Nothobranchius furzeri: one gene and its partner. The protein of the gene in region 1 binds, or shares a complex with, the protein of each later gene. Links are inferred from orthologs where the notes say so. Each region holds a gene or a part of one and is shown in the gene's direction. Other genes may lie near its edges.

What was found. Proteins that work in one complex are often made in the same cells at the same time.
Region 2: the proteins of insrb (region 1) and grb14 are in contact, whole or in part, in a crystal structure (PDB 2AUH), measured with the Homo sapiens proteins. The link is inferred for Nothobranchius furzeri from reciprocal best matches to the Homo sapiens genes INSR and GRB14. Residues at the interface, in NP_000199.2 of Homo sapiens: Leu1065, Arg1066, Ile1069, Glu1070, Lys1112, Arg1116, Arg1163, Met1180, Arg1182, Tyr1190, Lys1192, Gly1193, Gly1194, Lys1195, Gly1196, Leu1197, Leu1198, Pro1199, Val1200, Trp1202, Ser1207, Leu1208, Lys1209, Asp1210, Gly1211, Gln1235, Asn1242, Glu1243, Leu1246; in NP_004481.2 of Homo sapiens: Glu373, Asn374, Ser375, Leu376, Val377, Ala378, Met379, Asp380, Phe381, Ser382, Ser386, Val388, Ile389, Glu394, Val398, Ala399, Glu401, Glu402, Gly403, Leu404, Trp406, Arg407.

Annotation. Positions count from the first base shown.
Region 1 is NC_091748.1:58,182,978-58,187,981, forward strand, and holds the end of insrb (insulin receptor b), read left to right. Parts: coding exon 1-53; intron 54-146; coding exon 147-214; intron 215-1,137; coding exon 1,138-1,367; intron 1,368-2,410; coding exon 2,411-2,521; intron 2,522-2,644; coding exon 2,645-2,807; intron 2,808-2,898; coding exon 2,899-3,028; intron 3,029-3,121; coding exon 3,122-3,256; intron 3,257-3,354; coding exon 3,355-3,709; 3' UTR 3,710-3,933; downstream 3,934-5,004. UniProt on the Homo sapiens protein: Receptor tyrosine kinase which mediates the pleiotropic actions of insulin.
Region 2 is NC_091754.1:19,800,652-19,806,190, reverse strand, and holds the start of grb14 (growth factor receptor-bound protein 14), read left to right. Parts: upstream 1-2,231; 5' UTR 2,232-2,405; coding exon 2,406-2,584; intron 2,585-3,431; coding exon 3,432-3,549; intron 3,550-5,539. UniProt on the Homo sapiens protein: Adapter protein which modulates coupling of cell surface receptor kinases with specific signaling pathways. Binds to, and suppresses signals from, the activated insulin receptor (INSR). Potent inhibitor of insulin-stimulated MAPK3 phosphorylation.

The DNA of each region.
Region 1 (5,004 bases):
CTCATTCTGCTGCTGTTCCTGGCTGCTGGTGTCATTTTGGTTATCAAGAAGAGGTGAGATGTGACATCATCATCAAGTGTGCTGTTGTGTCGTGAGATCATTTACAGCATCTCAGATTTATTTTTTTTCCTGTGGTTGTGTTGCAGGCAAAGTGATGGTCCATTAGGAGATCTCATCACATCTCCAAACCCTGAATACTTCAGCGCCAATGACAGTAAGAGTCTTGTAACACAACTAAAACACATCTGAATACGTTTTCCAGCAAAATTTTGCAGCTAATGTCTAAAATTGAAATATACGGCAACCTGTTTCTACAAACACCGACAGCAGTTGAAGGAGCGTAAAGAGAACCAAAATCAAAAGAAATGTTAAAGCTGCTGCCTGTGGCTCATTTGCGTTGCCAAGGTAACCACAGTCTTGTGATACCCTAAAGTTAAACCTCAAACTAATAGTTGCTGTGCATAAACTATTGACCATCTTCAAAACGGTCGTGATCAATGAGAGGCGGAAGAGTGTGATGGTCGTACATTTATTAATGTTTGTGTCTGAGTTTTATGTAAGAGATACAGTTTTTAATAAAAAATAAAACTTAAAAAAAAAAAGGAATTTCAGGTGAACTGGAGGGTGTACACCAGGGCTATTCAATTCCAGCACGTTGTAGTGGTTTCTCTAGTCCAACCCACTAGAGTCAGTGGTTGAATTACCTACGCAGCAGCTCATCAGGCTTTGCAGAAGCCTGTTAATCGCCTACTAATTAAAATCAGGTGTGTTGAAGCAGCGTTAAAACCTAAACATGCTGGATACCGGCCGCCCAGGCCCGGGATTGAATCCCCCTGCTGTACACACTTAACTCAGAATTTTTGGGCGAAAGAAGTCAGAAATGTTTCACATTTAATGTGTATTAAAAACACCCGTTGTGTGTGAAGTTTAAGTTTTCAAATATTGAGGAAAGCTATGTCACATGAAGTAGAAAAATTTGCACCATAATCAAAAATTTGTTTAAAAACCATAAAACGTTTCAGTTCTGTTGTTTCTGATAAAGATCCTTTTCTTTTGTAAGTTACAAAAAGTCCTTTTTTCTCTCTATTTGTCTTCTCTGTTCAAGACACCCATAAAAATCTTGGTTTTTTTGTGCAGTGTACGTCCCTGACGAGTGGGAGGTGCCCCGGGAGAAGATCACGCTGCTCCGAGAGCTGGGCCAGGGCTCCTTCGGCATGGTGTATGAGGGAAATGCTCAGGACATTGTCAAAGGAGAGCCCGAGACGCGCGTCGCTGTCAAAACGGTCAACGAATCAGCCAGCCTGCGAGAGAGGATCGAGTTCCTGAACGAAGCGTCCGTCATGAAGGCCTTCAGCTGCCACCACGTGGTACGAAAACCCTCTTAGAACGTCCAGCGGGCTGCTGACTCACAGCACCTCACTGCTCTTTTATCCTTTAGCTGCAACCAGTGCGTGTCTCAGAGAACCGTGACTCACGTGTTGTGTTGGAGCTGCCATACTGACACACAGTTTGACTCCAAAACAAATGTTCACACTCAGTAGGCGATTGCGGCGGCCATTACTATTTCATTACACAAGCTACTAGGCATCAATTGAGCCAGCATGTGTTGTGCTGTCAGCTGTGAAAACATGTTGCGATGAGAGAGAATTTTATTATTTACCACCTCAGGAGGAGATAATTCATATCGGAGCTGTTATTAATTCATGTAGGAGCTTGAAAAGCTTTTATACTTAACACACACAGAGATTTCAGAGTAGAGGCCGTCCGATATATTAAATTTTTTCTATATCGGCTAAAATTATTTTTAAAAGCCAATAAAAACGTTAAAAAAATTAAGCAGGCACCTTTGTGGCCAACTGCCGCCACTACTATGCTGAAGAAAGGACCCGAAGAACCCAACACACCATTTCTTTAATGTTTTGATTTTGTTTTCTATTTGACGTTCAATGAATATAAAGAGATTTATTGAATATTTAATTTATATTGCACACGGTGAGTGTCCAGTTGTCTTTCACAATCAATGTGCTGCTAAAACGTATTTATATCGGCTTTAGATATCAGCAACAATATTCTTTAAAAATCAGCATCAGCCTAAAAAAAAAACATGTTGGTCGGCCTCTATTTCAGAGTTTCAGAATCATGTTGTTGTTAGCCAATCAGAGGCGAGATGACAGAATATCAGGAAATGAGAATCTAAATCCTGCCGCCTTCTGCTCATCTCTCCTCTGGTTCACGTCTAGTTCCTGAAACAGGAGCGCCAGAGCTTTTCCCCCCACACAGATCGACTCACAAGGCATTTATTTATATTTGGTCTTTAAAGCAGGCCTTTAAATGATTTTAAAACTAAAGAAACATTGTCTTGAGCTGGGAGGGTTTGGTGTGTGTCATGCTGCGACTTTCTGTTTTACAGGTGCGTCTGCTGGGGGTCGTGTCCAAAGGTCAGCCCACTCTGGTCGTCATGGAGCTGATGACTCATGGTGACCTGAAGAGCTACCTTCGCAGTCTGAGACCGGACTCTGAGGTTCGTTCTGGTTATCATCTAGTCAGGGTTAAATCGGTCAAAGCAAAATAAACTGAAACAAGATTGAAGGTTGTGATGTGTTCGCCAAAGGGTAGAAGCTGATTTTCCGTGTGTGGTTTGCAGAACAACCCATCCGGCTGCCCACCGCCCACTCTAAAGGACATGCTGCAGATGGCAGCAGAAATAGCTGACGGCATGGCCTACCTCAACGCCAAGAAGTTTGTTCACAGGGACCTGGCAGCCAGAAACTGCATGGTGGCTGAAGACTTCACAGTAAAAATCGGAGGTACGGCAGTCGTTTTGTGTGTTGTGTTTTTGGTTTTGAGGCAGATTTGGGTTTCAGAGTCGGTCCTGATGCATTGATCTCCTGCTGTCAGACTTTGGCATGACTCGAGACATCTACGAGACCGATTACTACCGTAAAGGAGGGAAGGGTCTGCTTCCCGTTAGGTGGATGGCTCCGGAGTCTCTGAAGGACGGAGTCTTCACGGCTCACTCAGACTGCTGGTACGCCACGCCTCAGCGACTTGCTGTGTAAGCTCTGTTATCCCGTCAGCTCACCCTGTCACCACGTTGTTGTGTGTGTGTGTGTGTGTGTAGGTCTTTTGGAGTTGTGCTGTGGGAGATCAGCACGCTAGCAGAGCAGCCTTACCAGGGTTTGTCCAACGAGCAGGTCCTGAAGTTTGTGATGGACGGAGGGTTCCTGGACCGCCCGGACAACTGCCCAGAGAGAATGTAAACACGGAATTTGTTCATTCATCCATTCTTTAATGAGGAGTCCTCGCAGTGATCTGTTTGAGTCTTTTCTCATTGTCTCGGTCTTCTGTTGCTAGGCATTGCCTAATGCAGATGTGCTGGCAGTACAACCCTAAGATGCGTCCAACATTCCTGGATATCATCGAGATGCTGCGGGACGACCTGCACCCATCCTTCCAGGAGGTCTCCTTCTTCTACAGCGAGGACAACAAAGTCCCCGAGACAGAGGACTTTGACCTGGACCTGGACAACATGGAGAGCATCCCCCTGGACCCTTCTTCTTATTCCCAAAGAGAGGAGAGCTTAGGCAGGGACAGCGGGCCATCGGTGGCCCTCAGGGGGAACTACGAGGAACACGTTCCTTACACGCACATGAACGGTGGCAAGAAAAACGGAAGAATCCTATCATTGCCCAGATCCAGCCCATCCTAACATTTCCTTATTCCTAAAAAAAGACTCGATTCACCTTTGCCCCCCTCCAGTTGAATTTTCTGTTCTTTTCACAGTTTTCTTATTCGTAGAGGAAGAAAAGACGCAGATCTCAGGACTTTTCCGTTTCTTCCTCACCGCTGTCCAAGACGGGCAAGCAAGGGATGCAAACACGTTTATAAAACTTGCTCCACGACACATCAGACTCTATGAATCTGTGGTGACACACAGCCATGTTTCCAGGACTCCTCGTGATGGAGAAAAAGTGGGGCGGCGTTTAAATAAATAACAAACTGAAAACTGTGAACACAGCAAACTTTAGCCAACCAGGACAGCTGCTCGTGCCACAAGACTTTCTCTGCATTTCCACGTTTCTGATTGTTTCTGTTCTCTCCAAACTTCCACTCAGATTGTGGCCTTTTCTACGTGGCCTGCAAAGAAAGAATCGTGTCTCTCAGCGTTCTTAAACTTGTTTCCTTTTTGTACACCTTAATCAGTGGGAGGACTTGCAAAGACTCAAAAGTAGAACATCTGATTCCTCCAATAAAGATTTTGTGTTTTTGGTTCTGCAGAATTCCAAACGGCACACAGATTAATCCGGTGTTTAGTGAATAGTTTTAATTTATTGGCTTCCCTTCCCTTCTTTTTTATTTCTCTGTCCTCATTATGTGGCTGAAGGATATTTAAACAATAATTGGACAAGAAAGAGTTCATCAGACTGACCAATAGCTGCTGCTTTCATATGGTTTAGTAGTTATAGACAAATCTAAATATATATTATATATATGGTATATAAGAAGTATGGGTGCTTCCCACCCATACTTGATTTATATACTGTATGATGTTTTTGTAAATACTGTAGTTCATATCCGTAAGGTTTTTCACCACAGCCTTTGCTAGTGTTGTTTGTTTTTAACCCCAGAAATCACACAAATCTACCGTCAGCGCTCTCTGCGCAAGTGTCAGACCTCAAGTTCCTGCTGCATCTGGAGGAGAAATCCCTCTTTTCATATCAGAGCAGTCACCATAGATGGAGGCAAAGTTCCTGCTGCAAAATCCCACCTGACTACAAATCAAAGGGTTATGAAGGGTTGTGAGCAGGGCCGGTGCACAGGTACCAGTTTGCGTTCTGACGTTGCATCCGTATGAGCGGTTTTTCAATCTGCTCATCAGAAACTCACAATCTGAGCGCACCCCCTCTCCTTCCACTATAGTCCTACATGAGATGAGTACCAAACACCTGGTATTCGAGTACTCACAAAGTTACCTGCATTCCTGGTTATGAGGCCTTTGGAGTG
Region 2 (5,539 bases), on another chromosome or scaffold:
AATCTCTGGTGCTGAGGTCACTGAGGTGGTCAAAAAGTTCCTTTGTGGCAAGGCTCCGGGGGTGGTTAAGATGCACCCAGAGCTCCTTAAGGCTCTGGATGTTGAAGAGTTGCGTTGTCTGGCTCAGCTCTGCAATAACGCGTAGACATCGGGGGCAGTTCCACTGGCTGACTGGGGTGGTGCTCCCCCTATTTAAAAAGGGGGACTGCAGAATGTGTTCCAACCACAGGGGGATCACGCTCCTGAACCTTCCTGGTAGATTGTCGAACCTCTGATTCAGGAGGAGCAATGTGGTTTTCTTCCTGGCCGTGGACATGTACTTTGTGGATTTGGAGAAGGCGTTTGACCGCATTCCTAGATGCATACCCCCTATGGGGGCACTTTGGGGGGTATGGGGTACCAGGCCTTCTAATATGGACTGTTAGGTCCTTATTTGACTGGTGTCAGAGCTTGGTCCACATTGCTGGCAGTAAGTCGGGCTCGTTTCCAGTGAGAGTTGGACTCAGTAAAGGCTGCCCTTTGTCACCGATTCTGTTTATAACTTTGGATAGGTTTGGACAGGATATGGACAGAATTTCTAGGGCGCCGCCAATGTGTTGAGGGGATTTGTATTGTTGGCCTAAGGATTGAGTCCCCGCTTTTTGTAGATGATGTAGTTTTGCTTCATCAGAACGTGATCTCCGGCTATCACTGGAACTCCTCTAAATCCGACACCATGGTCTTGAGTCGGAGAAGGGTAGAAGGTCTTCTCCAGGCCAAGGATGAGGTCATGCCCCAAGTGGAGGAGTTTAAGTATCTCGGGATCTTCTTCACAAGTGAGGAAAAGATGGAGCGCAAGATCGACAGGCGGATTGGTGTTGCGTCTGCAGTGATGCGGGCGTTGTACCGATCTGTCGTGGTGAAGAGAGAACTGAGCCAGAAAGGAAAGCTCTTGATTTCTCGGTCGATCTACATTCTAACCCTCACCTATGGTCACGAGCTTTGGCTAGTGACCAAAAGAACGAGATTGTGGATGAAATTAGTTTTAGGATGACTGGACTCTTCCTCAGAGAAAGGCTGAGAAGCTAAGTCATCTGGGAGGGGCTCCAAGTGCTGCTGCTCCTCTACATCGAGAGGAGCCAGTTGAGGTGGCTTGGGCATCTAGTTAGGAAGCCTCCTTAACACCCCCCCGGTGAGGTTTTCTGGGCACGTCCAACTGGGAGAAAACCTAACGGAAGACCCAGGTCACACTGGAGGGACTGTGTCTCTCAGCTGGCCAGGGAACACCTGGAGCTGGCCCAATTAGCTGGGGAGAGGGAAGTCTGGGCCTCCCTGCTTAAGCTACCACCCCCGCAACCCGACCCCTAATAAGCGGCAGAAAATCGATGGATGGATTTATTAGCATATTTTCTCCCCAAAGGAAAGAGAGGTGTCACTTTAAACTATTTTTTTTACTTATTTATATCAAGTTTCCAACAGTGGATTTTTCATTCATTTATGTGTTTATTCATTTAAAATGTACTCAAGCGTCTCGTATTCATTGGTTACATGGAAAAATAAATGTTTGAATAAGCTTCCTTGCATCACTGCAACTGGGATAATGCACCTTATTTTTTTAAAGCTTAATTTCCATTCCAACACATTTAGGTTGAACTGAAGCCAAAAACTGGATTATGTTGAAGCGGTTGTTTAGGAAAGGTGATTCTCTGGCAAATAAAAGCTTCCACGCTGGAAACTTGCTTTAATTATTTTATAAGCTTTGTGGTGTTGGTCTGAATTTCCCCTGGTCGAGGTCTGTTACACATTACCTTTAAGAACGATACTATCATCCCAACCATCCCCCACGTGGAGCCTGTCACTGAGTGACACAGCAAGTAACACAACCAGTCTGTTGCACCGTCTGGCTACTCTTTACAGCTGTCTTCAGTCTACAGTGTAGTAGGTTTAAAGTGCAGACCCGTACAAGGTCCACAAGAAGGGACAGTTGGTTTTACAGCCTCCTTGGGCTCAGTTCCTTTGTCTTGTGTCTTCTTTGTCCAGCTACTCACAGTTTGCAAATAAAGTGAGTCTAAAAGCTTAAAAAGGGGGGTGATTGTTAATAAAAAAAAGTCATGAGGTCAGAGTGAGCAGGGCTGTTGTGAGAGTCATTGTGTTAAAAATATCTTTATTGTGGTGGATCATGTTTGGGTAGGAGGGATCACTTTGCCCCACTGGGCCAGCCCTGTGGGCAGCAGATGAGCTAGAGAAACTTGTGTGTGTGTGTGTGTGTGTGTGTGTGTGTGTGTGTGTGCACTGCTGAGCTGTGAGCAGAAGAGCCCCGCCAGTCAGTCAGCCTGCTCCAACTGGGCACGCTCTCCAGCCCAACAGCTCGCCTCTGCTGTTTGCTCCAGATGATGCCTCGGATCTAGCCAACCCACACGAGTAACATGAATAAAACACTGGAGAAAATCCACACTTCTGGAAGCCTCGGACAGAAAACAGGGATTTTTCACAGTGGTGAGTGTAATGTGAGTGGCTTTCCCAGCCCAGCCCTCATCCCACTGCAAGAGCCTTTACTGACACCAAATGCTCAGAAGCTCGGGACCAAGCTGTGTAAGGGAAACAGGTAAGACTCATTTTTATTTATGCATGCTGTGTCACATTTGCTGCCTGTATTTCAAATTGAAATAAAAATTTTCATACTTTTCTAATCTCCTATATTTGAATCATACACAGTTTGTGTTTGGAGAAGCTGGTCAGAAAGGTGCTGCTTTAGTTGTTCCTTCAGTGCGTTTCAAACATCAAACACCTGTTGCTTTGAAGGTGACAAACGTTGACTCAGTAAAATGCGCACTGGAAAACTTTTACTTACCTTCAGTTGCATTTTATTTAGAGTGAATTATAGTTGATTTTATAAATCTGTCTTTTTTTTGTGTAAAAAAGGTGCACAAGTTTAGCACAATGAGGGCCGTTCCCATTTCTCTTATCTGCTGTTTTATCAAAAGTCTGTTGGTGAGTAGGCGTGTCCTCAGGTAGCTCGAAGCAGGAGGGTTCAATGCAAAAATCCTTCTAGCTTATCACCTACTTAATTCCTAATTTGCACCAAAGCAACATTGAGTCTGTTAATCTCTTTCAAACTCCAGACATAGCTGCAGATTGTCTCTATTTCTCACAAAGTTGCTTATAAAATGTTAATAACTATCTTGATTATCTAATTTACAATCTTTTGTGTGCTACTGCTGCTCTCCTCTGTCCTTGAGCTGTTGCAATAATGTAATGACCCCACTGAGGGACAAATAAAGGTTTTATTTTTCTCATCACTTTACAGCTTTGGTAAACACAATGCAAACCTTAGTGCTTGGAATTGAAAAATAAGAATGTAGCATTGCCAAAACAGAGCAATCCCTCATGAATTATTACACAATATCCGCTAATGTTTCATTCTCTCTGGTGCTTTTGTTGGCTCGTTTCAGGAGCGTTCGAGAAGGAGGAGAGTCCTTATCCTCTCCTGTTCCAAAGCCTTTCCCTGAGCTTCTCCCATCCATCACATCTGAATGTTTATTGCCATGGATGAAAAGTAGCACAACTCAGGTGAGTGTCCTTATTTGGGACAAATTACAGCCTCTGCTTCTCCCCTGAGCACAGATCCTAGGTGTAGTTTAAACAAGGGTCTGAAAGCAATTGCAGGTCATTTCTGAAAGTCACGTGAACTCCTAGTTCCATAGTGTTTGACTTGTAATTTTGTTTGAAACCTCAGGATATGTGGATGGCTCGACCGGTTTTACAAGTATGTAAATCAGTCGCAGAGAGGAGATGAGTGCTGCGTTAGAGTGCACGGATGATCTGCATGGTTTTACATGGGAAAATGCAGGTTTTTACTGCTGCACGGCGGCCGCCAAACAATATGAAAATGAATAAACAAAGTGAGGTGTTGCACCACCAGTGGATGTTATATTTGAAACTTAATAAGTTTATGGCTTACCCAAGAAATACCTGGCCCAGTGCCTGCAGCTCCACTGTTTGTTTTAGCACAGGGTGTGTGATTATCGTGCACTGCATGCTGGGAAGTACTCGACAAGCTTTCACTGCGATACAGATGTTGAGACAGTTTCGGTTGTTTTTATTACACAGTGTTTTCTTAGACTTTTAAAACCAGTTGGCTTTTGGTTAACTCCTGCCTGCAAATGCGTTTTTTTTTTTTTTGCAGTTCACACTATAAATACCCGACTTTGGGCACAAATATTGTTTTGTTTAAAAGCAAATTGATGATTATTTTATTTTAGAGAGACATTTGAAGCATCTAGTGTTTTTTGACTTGGTACAGCAGTTTTTCAAGCAGGGTTTGTTAGATTTTGCTTGGACTCCATCCTCCTTGTGTTGCCTGTGTAGAATAATTTGGGAACAAATGGACTTTTTTTTTGTGCGCCACCATACTTTATATATTTCTTGCTTCAGATCATCAGCAGTTTCATTGCAGTTGTTTATAGTGCTGATTGTTTTTACATTCTAGACATTAGTGCAAGAGAAGAATCTTGATTAACTGATTATTTATGAAAAAAATATTGCTGGGGTAAAATATTTGGGATAGTTGTGGAGGGACACTATCCTGCAGGTTTGAGATGTTTCTCTGTTCCAACACGCCTAATGTATCAGTGAAATCATACCCCTAGCCTGTCATGTTCTGCAGAAATGTGTTAATCCCAGATTTAGTTAGTGAAACCCAATAAACTAGGTGTCTTGAAGCAGGGAAGGTATCTAAAGTATGCAGGTTAGTAGCCCCCCATTACTGAATTGCAGTGTTGGGAGTAATGTGGTACAAAAGTAATTAATTACTGTAATGCATTCCTTTTTGCTGTAATGTGGTAATGTAAGGCATTACAGGGAAAGAAAATGGTAATATTTACTCGGTACAATTGTCAGTAACGCGGTAATTACAGTGCATTTTTAACCCTCAGGAGGCAGGCGTTGCAGAATAGCAACGTTAAAACCTACCTACCTGGTTACTCCACATACGTTTCTTGAGCATTTTTTAACTCAGAAGTATCCCTGAAGGACTTAGTTGTTTGTCCTTTTATCAAGACTAATTTTGAGTCTGAGAGGGTTAAACCCAGGATCAAGATGTGGGTTTCTTAAAAATTCAAATTGTGGGAAGCCCAAAAAAAGATCCAGTATCTATTCTATGAGCAGAGAGGACGCAGCAGTAACAGGTCAGATACTCCAGCTGCGTCCTGCGCGCGGTTGCTGTAACATTCACAAAATCGCTCCACCAAAACAAAATAATTTACTTGCAATCGTTCATCCGTCCATATGCTCTGGTACTTTAAGTACTTTTCTGACGTGCTTTGCCTCAGCTGAGTTCATAATCTGTGCCTCGGTGAGCGCAGCACATATTAAGCTTTTTTTTTTTGCGTTCAGTAGACCCCTTTGGTTGATTAGTTAGAAAGTCAGAAAGCTAGGGAACAGTTTTTCTGGAAGTCTGGGAAAACATGCAGCATGCAGGAGGGTTAGAGAGAGAAAGGGCAGGAAATTATTCAAATGCAATCAAGAAAACAAAACAAAGTGCTTGAAAAGAAATAAAACT